3 linked regions of the Yarrowia lipolytica genome follow. The protein of the gene in region 1 purifies or fractionates together with the protein of each later gene. This does not show direct contact. Links are inferred from orthologs where the notes say so. Each region holds a gene or a part of one and is shown on either strand. Other genes may lie near its edges.

Region 1 (9,390 bases):
GTATCTTCTGTGATCCACCATGCTGCCTGTGTCCAATGTATGAGTGCAAGTAACGGCAGCAGGCTTCTCCACATAACGAATGATATTATTTGGAGGTATCACTTAGTGGGTTGTTGATATGATGGTTGTTGGGAAGGTTCAGTTTGCCCAATGATAGAATGACCATTGTGTGAATAATTAAGAATTGCCTTCGTAGTTACTGTAAGAGCTGGTGATTGTGAACAGATAAAAACAATGTTGCACCAAACATGCCACAGAACATTCAGGTGAATCGGGGCCAAAAAAAATTACAGCACCCAGGATTCTCGTATGGTCTCCCACTACAATACTAGCTAGGCTCTCTGGTGCTTGACTATGGCTGATCGGACGGGAAGCCGTATTTTCACCAGGATATGGGCCGTAACCACACTGCCGCCGACCCGCGGAATCGGAACCGGGGGCCCATCGATGGCAACGATGGATTTTACCACTAAACCATCGGCGCGGATTACATGTATGTCAGAAACCAGATCCGTCTTAGTCAGCAGTTCAACTCAGAATGCCATGAATCGACAAACCAACCGACAGCGCCCCGCAGCGCACATCGCAAAGATTCAGAAGTGTATGATTTATTGAACGCAAATAACCCGGCTTACTACAAGTAGGTATATAGCTGTAATGAATCATGAGAATAAAAAAATAAAAAAATAAAAAAAACCGAGTCCGATATTCGGGTATAACATTGTTTGTAGGCATCAAGTAGTTGAAATGTATTTCCATAGAAAAATAATAAAAAAATTCCTTCTACCAGCAACGTGTGGATCCCCCCATGGCCCTGATGTCCGAAGTGTAGATCGATAATCTCTTATTCCTTCTGCCGATAACGCCCCGTGAGGCCATGGGCAATTGGCACAAGCATTTCACTGTCATGAAGAACTATGTTTGGATGGCCCTGCTCGATCAGGAACGCGACCCCAAACATGAACTTTGGCTACAAGCAAACCAGCTACCAGGCAATCATAACAGGATAAATGCCCGGAGGGCCGAAAAGCTCCACATGCTCCGACTGTGTCGTCTTCCTGTCTTCAGATACCCGGCCCAGGCCACAATGGAGGATAGTGTGCTAGTTGAGGCTCAGTTTGACCTCATGAACTTCATCCGAGAATGGGCTCACGCCATCTGGCGTTTTGAGGCATTGTGGGCACGGACCCACAAGTCAAGCAGGACCACCGGTACTTGTTCCAATAGTCTTCGCTTACTGCTACTATATACAATACAGGTACAAGTCTTAACGTAATTCTATCATTAATAATCAATTAATACCAATACTATCACAAACCAACAATCCACCGTTCTTTTACTCATCCTCCTCCTCATCCTCCTCCTCATCCTCCTTTGTTCGCTGAGTAACGTAATCCGCCGCCTTGGCCTTGACGTACTCGGCGGCCTTGTCGTCGTCAGACTCAACCTCGTACTGGTACCACTTCTTGAAGAAGAACTTGGCCTGCTTGAGAGACAACTTGGGCAAGGCAACAACTCGCTCAAACAGAGCCTCGATCTTGGTCTTGTCCTGGCCATACTTGATCTCAAAGTCGACAAACTGAGACCACAGATCGGTTCGCTTGGGGTAGACAGACACCAGACCCTCCAGAAGAGTTCGGCCTCGTTCAGCATCTCCAGACTTGTACTCAAGCTGGGCGAACTTGATGGCACACTGGAGATGGTCTCGCTTGGGCAGGGCCTTGGTGGCTCGATCCAACAGAACTCGGCCCTTCGCAGCCTGCTCGTTATCAAACAGGAAAGTGGCGTACTTGATCCACGCCTCCATGGAGCCAGAGAACTTCTTGACAGCTTTGGCATAGACCTCGTCTGCCTTGTCCTTCTTGTCAGAAGCAGCGTAAATGTCAGCCATCTTCATGTAGATGGTCTCGGCGTCCATGTACTGAGCAGCGTCCTTGAAGGTCTTGTCGGTGGACTCGGGAGTGCCAAAAGTGTTCTCCAAATTGAGAAGAGCGAGCCAGACGTTGAGTTTCTCATCCTCATCTCGGTAAGAGATGGTCTTAAGAGCACGCTGGGCAATCTCTCGAGCCTTCTCAAGCTCGGAGAGCTGCATGACGAAAGACATGTAGGAGATCCACAAAACAGAGGAGTTGGGGTTGCCAACAAGCAGACGCTCGTAATCACCAACAGACTGAGGGGTGGCAGTCGAAAGATCAGCAGTGATGTCAGCAATCTGAGTCTTTCGCTTCTTTCGAGACTTGGGGGCATCATCTTCCTCGTCAGACTCATCATCGTAATCAGAACCATTCTGCTCCTCCTCCTTTCCGAAGACGTCTCCCGACCAGTCAAAGCCAACATCCATGGCAGTGGACTTGGCCTTCTTCTGCTGCTGCTTGGTAGATCGAATGGTGGGGATAGACTCATCCTCAGAGTCGTCCTCGTCCTCATCATCCTCACTGTCTTCCTCATCCTCCTCGGAGTCCTCTTCGACCTCCATCTCGATATCGCTGTCCTCCTCGTCATTGTCATCCTCATCACCCTCGAAGTAGGCAGCCTTCATTCCAAGCGAGACCTTGCTGCCCTCAATCTTGAGAACAATAACTCGGACCTTGTCACCCGAATTAAAGAGCTCTGAGCAATCACCAACAGGGGTGTCGGCAATCTCGGATCTATGACACAGACCAGTAGCGTCTCCAATGTTGACAAAGACACCATAGTCGGTAGTTCGCTGGACAGAACCGTCGTACTTCTGGCCAACAGTGAGATCCTGGGGACCCTCAATGAGCTTGTCACCAGTCATATGACGCTGCTTGAGAGACATGTCGGGGAGACCCTTGTCAGAGAAGCCCATGATTCGACCAGTGACGATTTGACCGATCTTAAAATACTTCTTCCAGTCCATGAGGAAAGAGTCGGACAAGTTAGTGATCTTGACTCGAGCATCGATGCCGTGGCCAATAGCAACGAAGATACCGGCAGCAATACCAGTGACGACACCCTTGACCTTGTCACCTCGCTTGAGGGGGAGCGAAGGGAGAGGATCGACACCCTCCGGGTTCTTTCGAATGCAAATGGCGTAGGGCTCCTTGGCAGAGCAGATGACAGCGGGAACAGTCTCACCAATGTCGTAGACATTGCTGAGCTTGAGAGAGTAATCATCGACAGCATCCACAAGAGAGGCTGTGGCAGTGGAGGACTTGCCATTGACGTTGATAGTGCACTGAACGTAGTCAACCTCAATCTTCTTGACTCGAGCAGTCACCTGAGCACCCTGAAGTCCGTTGGAGGCGGGCAGCGCCTCTTCTGAGAAGCCCTCAGACTTTTCCTCGGACTGAGCTCCTCGAAGCTTGACTTTGTCACCCTCAATACCGCAGACAGAAACCTCGACAAGGTCACCAACAGCATCAGCGAAGTCAGCCTCCTGAACATCAGCTCGATCCAGACGGCCGACAATGTAGGCAGACAGAGCCACCCAAATGGAGTCCGCAGTAGACTGAACAACGACACCAGGGTAAGCCTTGCCCTCCTCAAGATTATTGATAGAAAGTCGAACATCGTTAGTAGCCAGCTCGATCTGATCACCCTGAGAAGAGGGACCAAGTACGGTCACAGAGATCTTATCGTCCTTCTCAACAGGAGTTTCGAGCTGAGAGAGTGAGATTCGACCGTTCTGGTTGTCGGAAAGACGGACAGAGACGAAGGAGGGGAGAACAGCAGTAACAATACCCTCGGTCTTCTTACCCTCAGAGTAGTCAGCAATGGTAGAGATGCTGGGGTCAACGGGGTTGACGGCAGGACCATTGAGAGACTTTCCAATAGAGACCGCAAACTTGTCGCCGTTGACAGAAGTCACTCGACCCTTGACAACCTGGAACTTGTCATAAGAGTCATCACTAAGAGATGCCTGAGGAGCAAGACCGACAACACCTGCAAAAGACACAAAGACACCGTGCTGGTTGACGTTCTGGACCCAACCGGTGACAGTTTGGCCAACAGAAGGAGTCTCCTTGATCAGAGTCTTGTTATGGTATCCCTTGATGATGTCAGGATGAGCACCGAGAGTCATAGAGCTCATCCACGGCTGCTTGGCAAGGACAACGCACTCCAGCTTGTCTCCCACACGCAGCTTCTTGTGACTAGGAGGGAGCAGGTTTCGAGGAACAACGCCAGTGAGATCGACATCACCAACGGTCATCTCGATAACAAAGTCACCTCGTTTGTCAATGATCTTACCGGTAACAAGGTCTCCAAGAGAGATGCCCTCGTAGGCACCAGAGACATGCTCAGCGGCAACCTTGGAGAGCTTGCAGGAGACCTGCATAGACTGCTTCTCAGGGTTGATATCCAGAATTCGGATCTTGACGGTCTGGCCAACTCGACAATGCTTGGTAATGTCAGCGATGAAAGCCTCAGACACCTCTCCAGCAGGAAGCCAGGCCTGAGAGTTGTCCCAGAACTCGACGACACACCCTCCAGGCTTGACATTTACAACTGTTCCAGAACCAATGTCGCCAATCTCAGACGCGTAGGAGATAAAATCGTCCTTAGGCAAGTTGTAGAGAGACTTTTTGATGGTCATTCGGCAACCGCTGCTGTCCACACCGAGAAGTCGGCCCTTTATCTTGGATCCAATCTTGAATTTGAGCTCGGGGTTGGCCATCTTGGCATCAACAAGATGAGCAGCAGGCACAACAGCGGTGATGAAAGATGACAGTGCCACGATAATACCGCCCTTGGGGAGATGCCTAGTTACAGTACCTTCGACCTTGTCACCAGCAGACAAATCACTGGTGGCAATGTACTTGGCATCCATGACAGACTGCTCACAAGACAAAACGTACATCTCGTCCTGGGGGGCAAAAGCGATAATTCTGGCATCAAGAGTCTGGCCAACCTCGTAGTCGGCTGTAGAATCGGTCTTCTCATCAGCGAGCTTGGAGATGTGAATGAAACCAGGAATGTTCTCGGCGAGCTCAACAAACAGACCGTGCTGAACGACATGAGTGACCTTGACGCCCAGAACTTGTCCAGGAAGGAAAGCCTCACCGATTCTGGGGTCAGCATCCTCCAAGTTGACGACGTGGGGCAGAGCAGAGAGAAGCATTCGCTTGCCGCTGGCACCACGGTCGAGAGTAGCGACAACTCGGGCAACAGAGCTAGTCTTTTCCTCAAGGCCAAAGGATCCCTGGAAGGGATCAATGGTGGCATCAACGGAACCGAAGACGGAAACCACTGCTCCGTTATTTCGCTTATCGGTGGTGACGACTGTGACTGGGGTACCAGCGACAGCGCTGGAGAAGTCCTCTAGTTGCCGGACGGCCTCACCGGTATGCTCTGTGTCCAGGGTGATTGTTCGGCCACTGATTCGAAGCACGCAAGCCAACACGATTTGTCCCTTGTTGAGTTCAACGTCGGTGTCCTTGATAAAGCCCTTTTTGCCCTTGATACCGGTAGCAACAACGTAACCCTTATCCTCCTTCGACTTGACCTCAACCTGCAGAGCCATGTTTGCGTCAATGTCACTGTCCTCAATATCCCTGTTGACATCCTTGGGCAGCAGACTGAGACCCAGACGCTTGTTAGAGGTATCGACGACAGAAGCTCGAACCCACTGTCCCTCCTTGACGTAGTCCGAAAGGTCGAACTCCTCGCCCTCCTCGATTTTGGCGTTGAGTGCCTCACTGACCTGAACACAAGACACGAAACCATGCAGGTTGTTGGGCAGCGAAACGACACAAGCGGTGGACTGGATATTGACGATTCGTCCGAGAATAATGGAACCAACAGAGATATTGTCCAGAGAAAGAGACTGGATCGCAACAATGTCGCTCGTCACAGCCTGCTTTGCCTTTCTTCCACCCTTCTTCTTGGAGCTCTTGGCGGCCTGTGATTCCTCGAACAGGTCCTTCGCAGCTTCATCGGCAGTCTGTCGAATCTCCATGGCAGACAGCACTCCAGCTCCTCCTCGGGGGAACGCGCCCTCCTCCATCTTGAGGCTTGACTTGTATTCCGGTTTTTCTGATTTCGTCTTCTCAGACACCTCAGAATGCTTTCGTTTCATTTTCGTATGATGTATGTGTGCGAGAGTAGCACCAATGGACTGAAATTTATTTTACCTACAATCCCAAATTTTTTGCACCTTGCATGAACCCTGAACCTTATCATGTTCCACAATTGGTGGCGGTGGTGGATACTGGAGGATTGTCGCATAAATTTGGGAGTTCGGCAATGGTTTTGTACAAGCCGTCAAGCTGGATTAGTAACCCAGAGTTAGAAGAATGTATCTGAGAAGACAGGCTCCATATATAACTATGTAGGCGGCACGGCCCCCAGGCTGGTTGAGGTTGATAGGTAGGGGGGGTACGGGAGTGGTGTGGCGCTTCTTGTAGTGTTCCTACCTGGAGTATGTACATACTGTAGTGGAGAGAGACGAATAAGGATATTTCTGGGCTACAGTAACAAACTCAAGTCAAATTATTGGTACAAATTCGACGGTAAGACCGTAGAAGAGAAGCCCATGAGGCAACAGCCCTACAACCGGATAAAGCCAAATGTTTTAGATACTCTGACATATTAATCTCTTAATGGAAAGGAAAGTAACAGATTAATTATATATTTTTATTCTAATGATTCATTACAGTTATATACCTAGTAAGCCGGGTTATTGGCGTTCAATAAAATCATACAAACTTCTGAATTCTTTGCCATATGTGGCGCTGGGGGGGCGCTGTCGGTTTGGTTTGTCGACGCTTCGTCTAGTTGATGTCATTTTCGTGGTCTCGTGGTAGTGAATCATGGCTAACAGATCAAGAAATCAAATCAATCGTTTCATGTCTTATCCAGACTCGAGGTTGCCGCTGGTCTGAGCTGAACTACTGACTAAACCGGATCTGGTTTCTGACATGAAAGAAATTTCGCCTTCGTGGCCAAGTGGTAAGGCGCAGCACTAGTAATGCTGAGATCATCAGTTCAAATCTGGTCGAAGGCAATTTTTTTGGTCTACAGGACTTATTAAAGTAACTTGAGCATCCTCAATAAATGATTAATGTTTTGCTACTTGATCGGTGGGATTACCCTTATGGTCACTGTAACTCGCAAATGTGTTTTTTCACGGACGTATCTTTCTCCATGACATCATCCAACGGCGTCTCTCTTTTCCACAAACTTCCATCTACATAGACACCGCACCTTGGTGACAGAGTTCAATGATTCGGTTGCTGCTGCAGGCCCCAACGGCGCCAATATATAAATATCCAGTCTCTCTGAGCGAATACTCTTTCTTCAACACCAAAAACAAACCCACACTACATTCCCAATGAGCGACAAAATCCCCACTGCTTCCGGCTCTTTTCCCTCTGGAGTTGTTCCCTCCGACCCCGTTCCCGACTGCAAGGACAAGAAGGAGACCACGCAGGGCTCTTTCCCCGCCGGTGTCGCCAAGGACAAGCAGTAAATCGCTGAAGTAGATTTGTTTGAGGCTATCGGCAGCGGCCTGGCGACTGGATCAAACGATACATATGTTGATACGGGTACAAGTACAAGTACACGTTGGAACGTCTTCTGAACGTCACCCTTATTTAATGAATGAATAGACCATCTGAATCGATGAGGTATACCAGTACAAGTACAAGTACATGGAGTCGGAGTTGGTGTGGATATGAGGAGTGCCATGAGAGAATAAAGGCGCTCTGATGCCTGGAGTGATCTGCTACTTGTACAAGTGCTTGTACACTACGTCGCTTACATACTCCTATCCAATACGATTTCAACTCAACGGTAAAGCTATATACACTTCCCGATTAGGGTAGAAGCCATAGTAGTTCAGAATATGTGGCAACCGAAATGAGAGGCAAAAGTCATGTTTTCTTCGGGGTGTCATCGAATTTACTTCTGAGATATACTCCAGTCGTTGTTTAACTTGGTCTTCACTCAAACAAACATTTACTATCACGAAGGTCATATCCCTAGGCACCCCTAATGCACCTACTTGTAGAATCACGATACCGACGAACTTTATCTGCGTTGTTCTTCCAGAACCTCTCCCATACACTACTTGTAATAGCTACAATCTGCAAAAACAGATTTGATCAAGCCGCCATCAGAACCATTTGCACGCCAAAGCTGCGCATCACACAGACTCCATTCCGATGGCGACCAAAGCAGCTAACAAACGACTAGTCAAGGAGTACGCGTCGATACAGGAAAACGCTCCTCCTTACATCACCGCGAAACCAGCAGAGAACAATCTCCTGGAGTGGCATTATCTCATCACAGGTCCCCCGGAGACTCCCTACGAAGGCGGACAGTACCACGGTGTGCTGCTCTTCCCATCAGAGTATCCCTTCAAGCCGCCGGCCATCAAAATGATTACTCCATCAGGCAGGTTCCTGCCCAACACACGACTGTGCCTGTCGATAAGTGACTACCATCCGGACACGTGGAACCCCGCATGGACCGTGTCCACGATCCTGACGGGGCTGCTGAGCTTCATGACCTCAGATGAACATACTGCAGGAAGTATGACATCCACAGAAGCTACCAAGCGGACATACGCCAGCGAGTCGCGCAGATGGAACCTTCACGACAAGAGCTTCCAGACTCACTTTGGAGGAACCAAAGAGGCCGAGCCTGCTCCTTTCGTGCCACCTAGACGAATTCCTGTGGTTGAGGCCGAGGGTTCTTCAACCGACTCCTTGGCTAAGAGCACAGTCATCAACAAGAAGAAGCCACAAACGAACAAGCCTGCTTGGACCCTTCAACAGAAGCTTCTCGTGGTTTTGGCGGTTATTCTCGCCTGGATTGTGGCAGCTAGATTCCTCGGAAAGACAGCTAACTAAGACAGTAGATGATATCGTTGAGAGGAACACAGCACATTAGTGCGAGTGTTTGGAGATCACATGATCTGATATCACGTGCTTCTACGAGGATAATCACATGACCAATAGCCACACAGTCTCAGGTGTTTGCTGGAAAAGGCCTAAATCTAGAAAGTTGCTATAGAAAGAGCATTAATGTCTGAATAGATATTACCAAACATGTCTCATATTTCATAAAAGCGGGAGAATGTACATTCTTTTGTCATAAACACCAACCTACAGTATGTACTAAGACAGTTCTTGTTTACCTCTCTCTTCATGTGTTGCGTGTGTACACTGTAGAACAGTACTGTAGATAAGGTTTCAACCTTGCTCTATCACCACTAATCATGATCTAGCGTCAGTTGCTCACTCTTCTCTTAGTTGCTCATAGTTGCTTTTGTATTCATCTACAATTCACTTTCTTGTGAATATTGATTCACGTCTTTTCCAGTACTCTCACTCAACCGCTTGGCATACTACTGGCTAGACAACGTTCCAGCACCCCATTTACCTCATCCTTCTCAAGTATGGTCTGGCCATTCAGTAGATTCTC
Region 2 (7,719 bases), on another chromosome or scaffold:
CGTAGGTGGCCGAGTTGGTCCATCCAAACAGCGCGTTGGCAATCATCCATCCTCCATCGGTCTGACCGTTGCAGCAGTTGACGTGCCACACGGACTTGGTGATGTCGTAGGAGCCGGGTCCAGAGCCGGTCTCAGATACGTCCATACCAACTCTGTTAACGAACTGCTGCAGCTCCAGGAACCACACTCCACGGGAGAAAAGACCGGCGGCCACCAGGTACAGGAAGCACGTGGAGCCAATGAGGAAGTAGTTGATGGAGATGGCGTTGCCATACTTGTACATGGCGTAACCAATGAAAGCACCAAGGGCAATGGCGGTGATGACGGGAAGGGGGAAAGCAGAGAAAGGCTGGTTGACACCGATACCGCCGAGGAAAACCACGGCCTCCATTCCCTCTCGAAGGGTGGTCACAAACGGTAGGATGGCCAGAGCGTACTTTCGAGACAGGTACTTGAGGCCCCAGCCGCCGTGGCCCTCGTGGGTCTCGACCAGAATCTTGGCAATCTTGTGTCGCCACTTTTCTCGCATCTTGTTGATTCGCAGCATGGCGGCTCCCATGATGGTGATAATGATGGACGAGACAATGGAGAAGACGCCCTCCCACACGTTCTCAGTCATGCCCCACAGATCGTGTCCGTAGATGTAAAAGGTGGCAATGAACGCACCTCCCACGGCCAGACAGATGAGCAGACCGAAGATTCCACCCAGCCATACCTGGGTAACAAGCCGTCGATACACTTGCAAGTCCTTCTGGGACACATTATCGCCCAGACCCTGGTTGAGGAACGCCAGAAGCACGGAGATGATAATCGCCGTCTCAATGGTCTCTCGGAAGATGATGAAGAAGACCTGAACCGAGAAATAATTCTCGAAAAAGTCCGCGTAGTTGACCATGTTGTGTTGTGGAGTACAACCTGGAAAGAGTGAGTCTGGTAATTAAAAGCGACTTTTCAAAATAAGCTCCGTAGGGGTTAGAGTTGGGCGGCGTGGTGGTGGACATTTATCAAGGGGCAATCGGGGGTTATAGGGGCGGAATTTGAACGCAAAAAACAGATCATCCCACTACTAACGCGACAATAAATAGATTCAAAACATCTCCCGTTCAATTTGGCCGTCCCTATAGCTCTTTAAACGCCTCTCTTATCTGATGTTGCTCCATCTGATAACTGCACAACCTAATTATCCGGAGCCTATTTTTCTGCGTATAACCGTAACGGAGGAAACAACAAAACGGTGGCAACAGCTCCCAGAATCGTCGCAAACCGGGAAGTAAAAGGCGAAAATTCCTCACAGTCACGTGAGAAGTTTGTGCCCGTCACATGATGTCCAGGGTTCCGTCTTGGGTTCCTGGTACCCTGTTATTTCGCCATCCCATCACTCCGCCACCCCACACACCCATAACCCTTGACTAGCACGGCTCATTAACAAAAAGGCAAAAGGGAAGCATCGTCACGTTGCGGCTAATTGGAAGTGTATGGAGGAATCAATTTAGAGAAGTTTGGCGCAGTCCGATCAAAGCACAAGTGGCATAGAACGACTCCTCAGAACGAGCCAATCAAAAACGGTATGTTTTTCTCCCACATTGGACTCTTATTAAGCAACTAGAACTCCACCGAAACTGATTCGGAGCGAATCTACCTTGCACCTGAGTTCCGTTATAAAGTGGAATGTTCATCTCCGACAACAGAACTCACACAACTTGCCCAATTGAGCTCCGATTGGGCCGCCAGAAATTTCAGTACATCTGCTGTCCCTCGCTGACCATTTCTATATATAAATATTGCCATTGTACCCCGTCAAAACAGACACAGACTAGAACTAGGCATTGCCAAAGTTTACAGCAATACCCTGCACTCTTGCAACAGAACATACACTAAACATGCGCGACAATGGTTTAGAACGGCGCTCGGGGTTTCTCCTTTCCTTTTTATCCGCATTAGTCACGTGCGGCCAAGACTTTCCACCCTCAACTGCATACTATCTGCGTCCCCGTTAGCCACTTTGAGTGCAACTACGGTGGGTCTGTTTAGTCCAGATCGTCTTCTCAACAGGGTTGTATTTTGTAGTTAGTTGCAAGGAGGTAAAAGACTATAAACCCGAAAGACCTTGTTTGTGAATGCGAATCCACGTGAGTTCACGTGGTTGGCACGTGGCTGTATGCCTACGACTGTTCTGGTCAGGCTGTCACTTGTGCATTCTTTTTTTTTCCTTTCTTTTGTCGAGTTCGTTAGCAACATGCACTCGGAGTCCGAGCGGAGCTACAAGCACTCACCAAGGAACCACAAGCCACAGTGGCGCAGCCGAATGAGACACGGCGCACCGATCAGATAACGTCATCTGATAAGAGGGGAAGAGCTTGTTCGTCAGTGCCGTGTAGTTTCAGGGCCGTTTGGAGTGTCATACGTTGAAAACTGTAGTGCATAAAAGACAGTCGTTGTGTCAAGGCTAATCCTCTTTAGTTGAATGTTTGTTAGGAAAGGGTGTTCTGTGATACCGCAAGTTATAATTTTTTAACATATATTTCAGAAATACTAGGGGAATTTCAAGCCTGAAATGACAAAGAAAGTGTTCAGATTGTAGAACTGAATGAACAGAACGAATTGGGACCATCTTTTCCATTCATTTGTACACACCCACTCGATCCAGCAGAACCGATTGGGAATGCCACACTCAGACAATTAGTTAAGATTAGTTGGAATCAAGCGCACTTATTTGTTATGTTTTTTATTAACGGAGGGATCTCTCAGAGAACTCATTGATCTAACTAAGGCAATATGAACAAGACAAATTGTCATAAAGAGACCATTCCAAACCACACCATATCCTCTATCATTCCCCTGGGACTCTTCCTACGCATCCTACGACGTGGTTTGGTTCTCCCTATTCTGCTCACCATCTAGCCCTAACCTCCATGCATCTCAATGCACGTTTAAAAATTATTTTTCCAGGCTGAATATTTCCGTACACACTCACACCATGGCTATCAAACAGAATGCGAAAAAGGGCGGCAAGCCTGGCAAGCCAGGTGGAAAGCCTCCTGGTGGGGGCAAGCCTGCTGGCGGCAAGAAGGTGTTTCGAAAAATCAAAAACGGCTTTGTGGAGCCTCGAAAAGCGAAAGCGGCCAAGGGTACGACTGTGGCAGCCATGGACATTGTTTCTGCTGCTGATCTGAGTGCCAGCGAGAGCGAAGACGAAAACAAGTTGAAGGATTTCGCCAAGTTTGACGATGATGAAGAGGAGAAGGAAGACAAGGGTGGCAAGGCCGAGAAGGACGTCAAGAAGGATGTCCAGAAGGACGTCAAGAAGGATGTCCAGAAGGATGTCCAGAAGGATGTCAAGAAGAGTGTCAAGAAGGATGTCCAGAAGGCTGGCAAGAAGGATACCCAAAAGGATGTCAAGAAGGCTGATGCTAAAACTAACAGCGCCATTGAGGGTTTCGCACAAGCCACTAAAGGTGAAGAGGCTGAGGTCTCTGTGCCTGCGAAGGAAGTTAACAAGGCTGCCAAGAAGGAGGACAAGGATGTGAAAAAGGACACTAAGACAAAGGATACTGTCAAGACTAAGGTCAAGGCTGCTGTTTTACCCGAATCTGACGCAGAAATGGACAACTGGTCAGATGCCGAGTTTTCAGACGGTGGGGAAACCATCGATCTTCCTGCACCCGGAACAAAGCCTCTCGACATTAACAAAATGAACTGGAAGAAGGTTGAGCTAGGCGACAAGAAGATGGACTTTGAGGGTTTCTACGGACTTGAAGAGCTGGACGGTGTTGATATTGTGGTCAACAACGGCCTTCCTACTTTTGTTGTAGGGGAGAAGCCTGAGAAGAAGAACTCTAAGAAAGAGACCAAGAAGGCCGAAGTTAAGAAGGATAAGTCTGGGGATGCCTCTGAGCCAGCCAAGAAGAAGGCCAAGGTTGCCAAGGACGGAAAGGACGGCAAGGAGGTTGCCAAGACTCAACCTAAACAGAACAGCAAGAAAAAGGCCGAGGGAAACGCATTTGAGGCCCTCAATAGTGTGCCCGACGACATTCATCTCCCTGACTGGACTCTCAACGGCGAGCAGCTTAACTACTCCCTCATCCAGGGCCTGTATGCTCTTGGCTACAAGTCTCCTACAGAAATTCAGAAGAAGTCGATCCCACCCATTCTGGCGGGTGATGACGTGATTGGAAAGGCCAGTACCGGTAGTGGTAAGACGCTGGCGTACGGTCTGCCGATTTTGCATCGATTTTTGGAGGCTGAGAAGTCAGACAAGAAGGAGGAGGTCGAGGAGGAGGTCCCTGAGAAGTGTACTACCAAACCCAGACCTAAGAAGGTGACCAAGATGACCGGACAGGAAGAAAAGAAGGACGACGAGGAAGAGGAAGAGCGATTCGATATGTACGATGAGGCTCCCGAGCCCCGCTTTGATATTTCCGACCGACCTGCTGACCTTCCTGTGCTTGACAAGGAGCGAGAAGACCGAGAAAACGAGGTGGAGATGGACGAAGAGACCGAAAAGGTGGAGAGAGACATGTCTTCTGTTAAGCCTCCTCAGGCCATTGTTTTTGCCCCCACCCGAGAGCTTGCTCATCAGATCACCGACCATTTGAATGCCGTGTCTCAGTTCTGTCCTATTTCTGGACCGCGAGTCATGGCTCTGACCGGTGGACTGTCTATCATGAAGCAGCGACGTCTCATGAAATGGAACCCTGCCATCGTTGTCGCCACCCCAGGTCGATTCCACGAGTTCATCACCGATACCGACGGCATGGTTGATGTGTTTAAGCGAACCAAGACTGTGGTAATGGACGAAGCCGATCGAATGCTTCAGGATGGACACTATGAGGATCTTGACAAGGCCCTGGATCTCATTGGACGAGGAAAGGTGGCCAAACGACAGACATGTGTGTTTTCAGCCACCTTCCAGAAGTCGCTCATGTTCAAGCTGGACAAGAAGCGAAAGCAAAGAACAGGTCTGGCCACCGATCAGGAAACCATCCGATTCCTCGTGTCCAAGATGAAGTTCCGACAGTTCCATCCTACTTTTGTGGACGCCAACCCTGCCGAAGTTGTCGCTCGACAGGTTCTGGAGAGTATCGTCGAGTGTGGCGCCATGGAGAAGGACCAATACCTATACTACTTCCTGCTGACCTACCCCGGCAAATCCATCATTTTTGTCAACTCCATCGACTCTGTCAAGCGTCTCACTCCCATGTTGCAGAACCTCGAGCTCCCCGCTGTGCAGCTGCACTCCAACATGATCCAGAAGGCCCGTATGCGGTCCCTAGAGCGGTTCCGAGACAACAAGAACGGTATTCTGGTTGCGACTGATGTCGCAGCTCGAGGTCTGGATATCCCCAATGTGCACCATGTTGTGCATTACCACCTGCCTCGAACTGCAGATGTCTACGTGCATCGATCTGGACGTACTGCTCGAGCGGGAAACGAGGGTGTTTCTGTGCTCCTGTGTTCGCCCGACGAAGCGTCGGGACCTCTGCGAAAGCTGCGAGCTGCCCTGTCACGTGACAATGCTCTTGCGAAGCTGAAACCTCTGTCCATGAACTACGACGTGCTGGCTCAGATCAAGCCCCGAGTGGAGCTTGCCAAGGAGTTGGCGGATTCGGTTCTGGACTCCACACAGGTTGGCAAGCAGGATTCGTGGCTCAAGGAGGCTGCCGAGGACCTTGGAGTCGACTTTTCCGACTTTGAGAACGATACCCACGATCACAAGAGCCATGTGCGAACCAAGCTAGGCAACAACAGCAAGAAGGGCATGAAGGTGATGAGCAAGGACCAGATGGCTCGTACTCGAAAGGAGCTTGAGAAGCTACTTAGTAAGCCTCTGGGACGACATTCGTCCAAATACATCACTTCTACTAACGGAATCAACTTGGCCAAGATGGTTCTGGATGGAAAGTCGCATGACAAGATTATGGGAGTGGCTCCTCAGACTGCTGGAGAGACCCTGAGAAAGAAGCGAAAGAACTAGAAAGCGAATAGCCGAAGTTCAATGCGGACCAAAACATGGAGGAGTTTATAGAGCAATCATAATGGATAAGATGTACTGTTCAAGTTCAACAGTAGTATACCGTACAGGTGCTGGTTGAGTTCTACAACCACTAGTTTTGTGCGTAATCAAGACAAATGATGGGAACAACTGGTTACCTCAACAATACTTTTGCACCTACATATCTCTAGGACCGCTCAATTGTTCAAGACTGTATTGTATTTTCATTAGTTACATCCCTTTAACATAAGAGAAGGAAATGAACAATTCCTTCAGTAAGAGCGACGTACAGGCGATTAATAGCTATAAGTAGCCCACAAAGCCTCTCATTCAGAGTCATACATTTTCCGTTTTATTAAATCATAATTGCATCCCATCCATACTTTACAATCCCAGCGGCAGCGTGCTCTAGGTACCGGAGACACACTAACACACTCTCAATGACATTTCTTAGTGCTGCACACTATTCGGTTAGAACCGTCCCCGACCTCTAGGTCCACCTCGTCCTCTGGGACCACCTCGGCCTCTAGGTCCTCCACGGCCTCTCATAGGTCCGCCTCGTCCTCGAGCCGCACCTGGTCCACCTCTTGCCGCGCCAGGAGCACCAGGCTCAACCTTTCTTCTCTTGGCCTTGGGAGTATCATCAATCAAAAGAGTATCCAAGGGTAGCGAGTCGGGGAGAATGAAGAACCGGATTGTGTTGCCTCGAATGTTGATGTAGTCGAGCGAGGTTGGGGGTCGGTTCTTCATGGTCATCTTCACATTCTTGAGTGTCGTGTTCATATTGTTGGACACAGACATGACTGTTCCGAGAAGAACGGTACCTGAGTTAGTAATGACGTAGGGGAAAGGGGGCCGCCATGTGCACATTAGAGGGAGTGACAGATGCAGACACAGATACTGACAGAAGACCCTGATAGAGCCAGAGTAGACCGAGCTCTGTGGAAGTAGGAACAGCTGTATTCAGCAGACAGCATATTGATTTACCAGACCCCAGGGTAAAACAGGCCGTGACTGTGATGTTCCATGGTCTTGATCAAAGGCGGACAGGCAAGAAGAGCATGAGAAATCAGCCAGAATATTGTAATAGAGGTAGACGGATCGTGTGAACTGATGATACCGCAGCGAATAACGTCATTTCCTCTTAACGTCAATGCGTCTGACCACTGTCTGTTGATCTCGCATATTGCGAATCGCGTCTGATGGGGTCAAGCGTGTATACACGCGAGAAGACAGCAATGCAAGCCGCTATAACACCATATACATTATCAGCTGTCACAGTATCACACCGAAACCATTAGCCAGACTCCCGGTCCTCTCTTGTCTGTGTCTCTTCTCTCTTACCCAGTCTCCCATCAACCTTCCGTGTACCATAGTCAGTGTTCTTATGAACCGCCATGTCACCGTTTGAGTGGAAAAAGAATGTCACAGCTTGTAAAGCCGTTTGTGCAATGTCAGCCCGCATCAGTCAACATTCTCGCCTGCTCCTTCGCCTCCCTCAACTTTAGTCGACATGTACATGTTGACTCGTTCATAGTGGATCAGACTTACAATAGTAACAAACCCATCATGATCGAGCCACGTGTCTGGATAGCTGTTTGTGCCACAATGTGGTTGGTTGTTGGGCTCTCCTCCGCCATCAACTCGAGCTTCTCGCTCTTTCGTTCTGTTGTTCGCTCGTCAGACGTGCTTCGCACTCTGCACTAGTTTCCGCACTCACCATTCTT
Region 3 (6,362 bases), on another chromosome or scaffold:
CATTGGGGGACATTTCACGTGATCCGAAATGAATCTGGGACCACAAACGGAGTATTTGGAGCTCGGGTATCACTGTTGAAGGCGGTATCTCGCGGTGCGTGGTTGGCAGTACGCAAGCCCCATTCAAGCGAAACTGAAAAAAGACTGAAAAAACTGAAAAAAAAAAACAAAAAAAAACAAAAAAAAAAAAACCTGAAAGAAGAAAAAAAAATCACATGTTCCTACTGGATCACGAATCACCCCACAAGAGCCACATAAGCCATGCTCTCACACTGTCTAGATTCAAAAATAACAGGTTCTCCCCGATCCAAAAACAAATTGGGGTGATTGAGCTGTAGGGGAATTGAACCCCTGGCACCTGCTAACAACTGAATGGAAGGCAGATATGTTACCACTACACCAACAGCCCCGAAACATGCCCAGTTTTTTATTCTTGCGCACCAACGGTGGGCGGAAGGTCACGTGACCTGAGTTTTGGAGTGGGATTATTGGTGAAGGGGTGAGGATACTGGAGTTGGAGAAAAAGTGGTAATCGGGTTCTGGAAATTCTTTTAGACGGTTCTTCTAGACGGTTCTTCGACTTAGATGGTGTCGACGTAGATGAATGTCGACGATAAGGCCACGGAGTGTACGCGTAGTGTACTACCATTCACCTAGATTACTACGATACTCGTCCACAAACTAGCCAGCACGGCGCTGACTCTACATCTGAAGCACACTTATCTAATATGTTATCATTAACTATACGAGTATCCTTCATGCTCCTATGTTTGACGATCGAATGGCTATGGCAGTCAATCCTTCTGTTTGCATTGCAGTTTGATACTCGTTCATCAGCTCATCTAAGCGGTTTCATTCCAACTTCCCCTCCAACTACCCAATCCAGAGCGCAACTCAGTAACGCATTGCTACTATCGGAACTACGCCTCACCCATAACCACCTCCGTGGAAACGACATCAAAGGTTCGGACCTTTACGTCCAGCACGGCAGTGACGCCTCTAGGGAACTTGTAGCTCTGCTGCTTCTGCTCACGCACGTTCGGGGTTCGGTAGTTTCTGTGCAGCACTGCGTCCTTGCCCTGCTCCATGACACAGATGTCAACGTTGGAGCCGGATCCCAGATCGTTCCAGATACCGGACTCGATGGCGTCGGATGCAAGCTGGATCGCCTCCTCCTTGGTCAGCTCCTGCTTCCAGTTGGCTTCCAGCACGGCCATGGCAGCCATGGATCCGGAGCCCAGAGCGAGGTAGTATCCAACGTCGGTCGAGCCGTGGGCATGGATCGACATGAGCTGGGGCCCGGTGGGGTCGACGCCCGCCACAATCAGGTACGCGCCAATGTGGCCCTGGTACTTGAACAGGTGCTGTTTGAGCATGGTCAGGCAGGTGACCACTCGGGGCTGTCGGCCCGCAGACAGCGAGTGCAGCTCAATGTTGGACGCGGTGAGCTGGGTGACCATCTCCGTGTCGGCAGCGGTGCCGGCTCCCGCGCACCAGATGTGGGGAGCGATTCGATGCAGCTTCTCGCAATTTTTGTCCGCCACAATGTCGCCACTGGTGGCTCGGGTGTCGGCCGCAATCACCACGCCGCCATCGAACTTGCATCCGACAATTGTCGTTCCGGTGGAGGTCGCGGTCGGCACCTTGACGCCCTTGGCCGACAGATGCGCGTTTCGCTGGTAGTTTGAGAAGGACAATCCTGGCATTGTGTGTTTTGTATGAAGATGTGTACAGGTTGGTGATGTGCTGGTTCGAAGTACTGTAGATATAGCGTTGGGACCCAAGGTGGCAATTAGAGTTTGGCGGTGGGATTTGGGGGAGAGATTTGGGGGTCTTGGGGAAATTTGGCAGGGAAATGGAGGTGCGAGATTTGTCGACGAGGTTGGTTAGTGGCTACTGGGGTTTTCTGCCCGAAAAAACAACCAGAAATGGTCGCTTTGGGTCACCCTCTTGTCGGACATACAGTCTGACACTAAGGTAATCTTAATAAGCAGATATATGAAGAGATAGGAAATGAGGACGATAGAGGCGGAATATTGCAAATCTGACCTTTCAGATGAATTTTACAGCTGTAGAGCTTCAAAATGATACCAAAACGACCCTGATTTGCAGAGTTTTATAGGATGTGGCGAAACAATGTAGTTTCAGTGGAGTTCGATACGATCTCCCTGAATCAGACAGAGGGTCTCAGAGACTGAGGAGGCGTCATAATGGGCCTTTTTTTACAAATATTGATTTGGTTAGAACTTGAATGGCATCACTAGGGCCGTTTCCCGAGGTTTCCTCTTCTAGAGAGTCAGAAAGACGTCTGGTTGAGGTGATGTGGAGGGACTAGAATAGAAACAACTGTACCATTGTAATAAGCTTAATGAAAGATATCTAGCAATATCCAACACCCTTCACTTGGTGTACTGTGGCAAAAGTTGGTGTGTTCATAAGCTGGGATGGTGAGATAGTTGTGGAGAGACCCTGAGAGGCACAATGAAGGGGTACGGACAGTTGTAGAGTTGAAAAACAGGCTTGGTGACACAAAGGGACTAGTGAATCGGCCTTTCTGGTTTCAAAATGGCCCTTTTTCTCATCATAATGTTGTGCTTGCTAAGTTGTCAGCATATGAAGACGTGAAGAGTTGCTGACTCGAAAGTCCAAGTAGGAGCCCGAGAAAAGTGGGAAAGAATGAGAAAGAACCGGAGAGGAGTGTTTCAGCTTTATTTCTTGTACAATAATGCATAGACTAGACACTACTCTACAAGTAACCTGGTATCTCAGTCAAGCCATACACAGACCTCAGGGAGAGGGTACAAACACCACTCTCACTCTCCTAGAAGTTATATAGAGACCAGAATTGGTCAATTTAATGGATTTAGCATCTTTCAAACCCGCAGAATCCTCCATATATGTTCATATCTGGTTCTTTCGGACTCTAGACCATCCCCCCACGTCCACAACCACCCCAAAACGCACATCAGAATAAGAGAAAATGTTTCTTAGTCATCAAACTACATACTAAACCAACTAAACCAACATATACAACTCTCCAGTCCACAGTGTCTCGGGCGAACATGCTCCAGAACTAGTCGTTGTGCTCTCGTCGATACTGGCTTAGTCAGCACAACCACCCATCTGCAACCTTAAAAAAATATTTTCGATTAGCCTTCTATTTTCTGTTATCTGGCACCACCTTGCAACCACACAACCATCATGAAAATCAAGACCATTTCGCGGTCCACGGACGCCTATCTTGCCGACCGAGCCTCCGAGACGTCGCGGCAGCCCCGAAACCTCGACTCCGCGCTGCATCCCTTTGAGCGAGCCCGAGAATACACAAAAGCGCTGAATGCCACCAAGCTGGAGCGAATGTTTGCAAAGCCGTTTGTGGGCCAGCTGGGACGAGGCCACATCGACGGCGTGTACACGATTGCTCTGAACCCGCGGATGCTCAACGCTGCGGCGTCGGGCTCTGCTGACGGAGTGATCAAGTACTGGGACCTGACGTCGCAGGAGGAGACTTATTCCGTGCAGGCCCATGAGAACATTGTGCGTGGTCTGACAGTGACACCCGAGGGACGACTGCTGTCGTGTGCCTCTGACAAGACCGTCAAGCTGTGGGACATGAAGAACAAGAACCCCGACCCCAAGCAGGTGTATCTGGGAGACCGAGGCTTCAACTGTATTGACCATCAGCGAGGTCCCGACACCTCCAAGTTTGCCACTGGATGTGGAAAGGTGCAGCTGTGGGACACCACCCGGTCCAAGCCTCTTTCGTCGCTGTCCTGGGGCGCAGACACCATCACTTCTCTCAAGTTCTCTCCCTCTGAGCACGCTGTGTTTGCCTCCACCGGTTCCGACAGAGCCCTCACCCTCTACGACATCCGAACCAACTCGCCCATCAACAAGCTGGTCACCAGCATGAACAACAATGCCATTTCATGGAACCCCCAGGTGCCGTTCATGTTCTGTGCCGCCAACGAAGACCACAATGTCTATCTTTACGACATGCGAAACCTGTCTGCATGCACATCGTTCCTGCAGGACCACGTGGCTGCGGTCATGGACGTGGACTACTCGCCCACCGGCCGGGAAATCGTCACCGCCTCTTATGACAAGACTATCCGAATCTTCAACGTCCGAGAACGGTTCTCCAGAGACATTTACCACACCAAGCGAATGCAGCGGGTGTTTTCTGCAAAGTTCACTCTGGATAACAAGTACATTCTGTCGGGTTCAGATGACGGTAACGTGCGTCTGTGGCGAGCCAAGGCCTCCGAAAAGGCCGGTGTCCGGTCGTCCAGGGAGCGGGCATCCCGAGAATACACCGACGCTCTCAAGGAGCGATACAGACACATGCCCGAGGTGCGGTCCATTGCCCGACACCGACACGTGCCGTCTGCCATCAAGAATGCCCGTGAAATCAAGGGTATTGAGCGAAAGGCTCTCAAGAGACGACAGGACAACGAGAGAAAGCATAACAAGAACCTGCCTGACATTCATCTCAAACAGCAGCATATTGTTGGTGTTGCCATCAAGGACGATAAGAAGATTGAGGAGTGGAAGAGAATTCAGGAGGAGAAGAAGCAGCATAAGGAGAGTGTTGAGGGAGGTTGGAAGAATGTCTAGTGTTTTGCAGGTGAATAGCACGACGAGAACACGTGAGGAAATGACATCTGACTACACGACGATATTAATATAGACCTGTGAAACGACATTCCACTTTCGACACAACGTCGTCTGTCACAAGTGACATGGCGCACACAGCCGCGGTCGTGTTTCAAAAAAGATATAACATATATATGAGTGCATTTTTTATTATTACTGTACTTGGTTGAAGACTGATGAGCTGAACACATCCATCAACTCCGCCACCCCCTGGACTCTGTAGTCAGTCAGAAAGATATGGCCGGATGGGATTGTTGTGGAACGGCCAGAGGTTGAGCGACTTACGAAAGTATCAATACAAATACCTGGAATACAAATACCAGTACCGGACCGTTATTCGAGTGGATGTGAGGACTTGAGGTCCGATTTGCTGGTGGTAGAAGGATGAATCTACGTTAGTTGCTAAGTCAGTCAGTCCGTACTGGTACGGTACCTGTCTCGCCGTCCGTCGTACGTTAGTTGCTAAGTCAGCCAGTACGTACTGGTACGGTTCTCGTCTCGCCGTCCGTCGTACTGGTACGGTACTGTCTCGCAGTCGTATCGTACGCGCCTCGTACCGTCTCGCAGTCGTATCGTACGCGCCTCATACCTTCCGTCGCACGCTACCGCCCGTCGCACGCTACCGCCTCGCTGTCCGTCGTACCGCCTCGCACTCGCGGGCTCGCCGGACCTCCTACCACTTTCAATTGGCTGACACCTTATCCCTGTGTGTGTTCGGACTATGCGCTCATTGTTTACAAGTATGACGTGCATTATCGTAGGTGCCAAGAGCTGAGATACTGCTTGCTGCGGCTATCTATGGGGTTTAGCGGATGATATAGAAACAAAGGCTGGCATCTAAGCAATCTGGACGGGGCGAAAACCGAGTCGCGGTCCGTGCGACACGAAAAACACGTCTTTTCACCCCCAGCAACGGAGTCTAGCTCCCGCCCCAACTCTGTGATAAAGTTGAAAGGAAGAATGCTAACAATAGATTGTAAACACAAGGGATGTGGGCCAGAGAGGCGCTTATTCGCAGTGGCAAGCAGGGAAAAAGTCGTTGATCACGTCATTAACAACTACAAGCAACAGTGTCGTTGCTTCCTTTCGTCACGTGATAGCCCCAGTCCCGCGTTTGGCCCTCTCCTCGATCCCGCCGCCTTCCCCCTGCATCTACATACTCCAAGGGATGACGTGCAGGAGCCAAGCGTTCATATTCAACTCTAACCCTGGCTCTGACGCGGTATATATATATAAGCGGGGAGGCGTCTCCGTCTTTCGTCTTTCGTCTTTGTTAGTTCCAACCAACGTTCGTTTCTGCCACATCCACCATGCGACTCTCCACCACTCTCATTGCTGCTCTCTCCACCCTGGCTCTTGCTGCTCCTGCCCCTGCCCCTGCCCCGGTCAACGCCATCGTCAACGGCGACAAGCTCAAGAACATCGAGCACCTTGGAAAGCGAGACCTCAAGAAGATCGCCCAGGAGAAGGTGATTGTCAACGGCGACCAGCTGACCAAGGAGGCCAACTAATTGTGTCCGACAAGTGACTGAATGTCAAAGATACGACATGGTCAACCACAAACCAGCCTAGAGAACACTTTGCTCACTGTATATTTAATCAATTAATAATGACTACAACATGTTGCCGTTGATGACTGACGTGATATCACCGCTTGATGACTAACAAGTAACATCAGTTGGATAGAGATGGATAAAGCGATTCGA

What was found.
Region 2: the proteins of YALI1_E35580g (region 1) and YALI1_A05052g purify together in Saccharomyces cerevisiae (affinity purification with mass spectrometry; 3 studies listed by BioGRID). This does not show direct contact. The link is inferred for Yarrowia lipolytica from reciprocal best matches to the Saccharomyces cerevisiae genes RRP5 and MAK5.
Region 3: the proteins of YALI1_E35580g (region 1) and YALI1_D17370g purify together in Saccharomyces cerevisiae (affinity purification with mass spectrometry; 3 studies listed by BioGRID). This does not show direct contact. The link is inferred for Yarrowia lipolytica from reciprocal best matches to the Saccharomyces cerevisiae genes RRP5 and SOF1.

What each region holds. Positions count from the first base shown.
Region 1 is NC_090774.1:3,554,628-3,564,017, reverse strand, and holds YALI1_E35580g (uncharacterized protein), read right to left. Parts: upstream 6,041-9,390; coding exon 1,337-6,040; downstream 1-1,336. Other genes in the region: YALI1_E35639g (uncharacterized protein), read right to left, coding at 1-74; YALI1_E35559g (uncharacterized protein), read left to right, coding at 8,127-8,816; YALI1_E35546g (uncharacterized protein), read left to right, coding at 9,365-9,390.
Region 2 is NC_090770.1:502,299-510,017, forward strand, and holds YALI1_A05052g (uncharacterized protein), read left to right. Parts: upstream 1-2,977; coding exon 2,978-5,974; downstream 5,975-7,719. Other genes in the region: YALI1_A05031g (uncharacterized protein), read right to left, coding at 1-895; YALI1_A05091g (uncharacterized protein), read right to left, coding at 6,464-6,862. UniProt on the Saccharomyces cerevisiae protein: ATP-binding RNA helicase involved in the biogenesis of 60S ribosomal subunits and is required for the normal formation of 25S and 5.8S rRNAs. Required for the maintenance of dsRNA killer plasmid.
Region 3 is NC_090773.1:1,733,863-1,740,224, forward strand, and holds YALI1_D17370g (uncharacterized protein), read left to right. Parts: upstream 1-3,201; coding exon 3,202-4,617; downstream 4,618-6,362. Other genes in the region: YALI1_D17355g (uncharacterized protein), read right to left, coding at 921-1,706. UniProt on the Saccharomyces cerevisiae protein: Required for ribosomal RNA processing.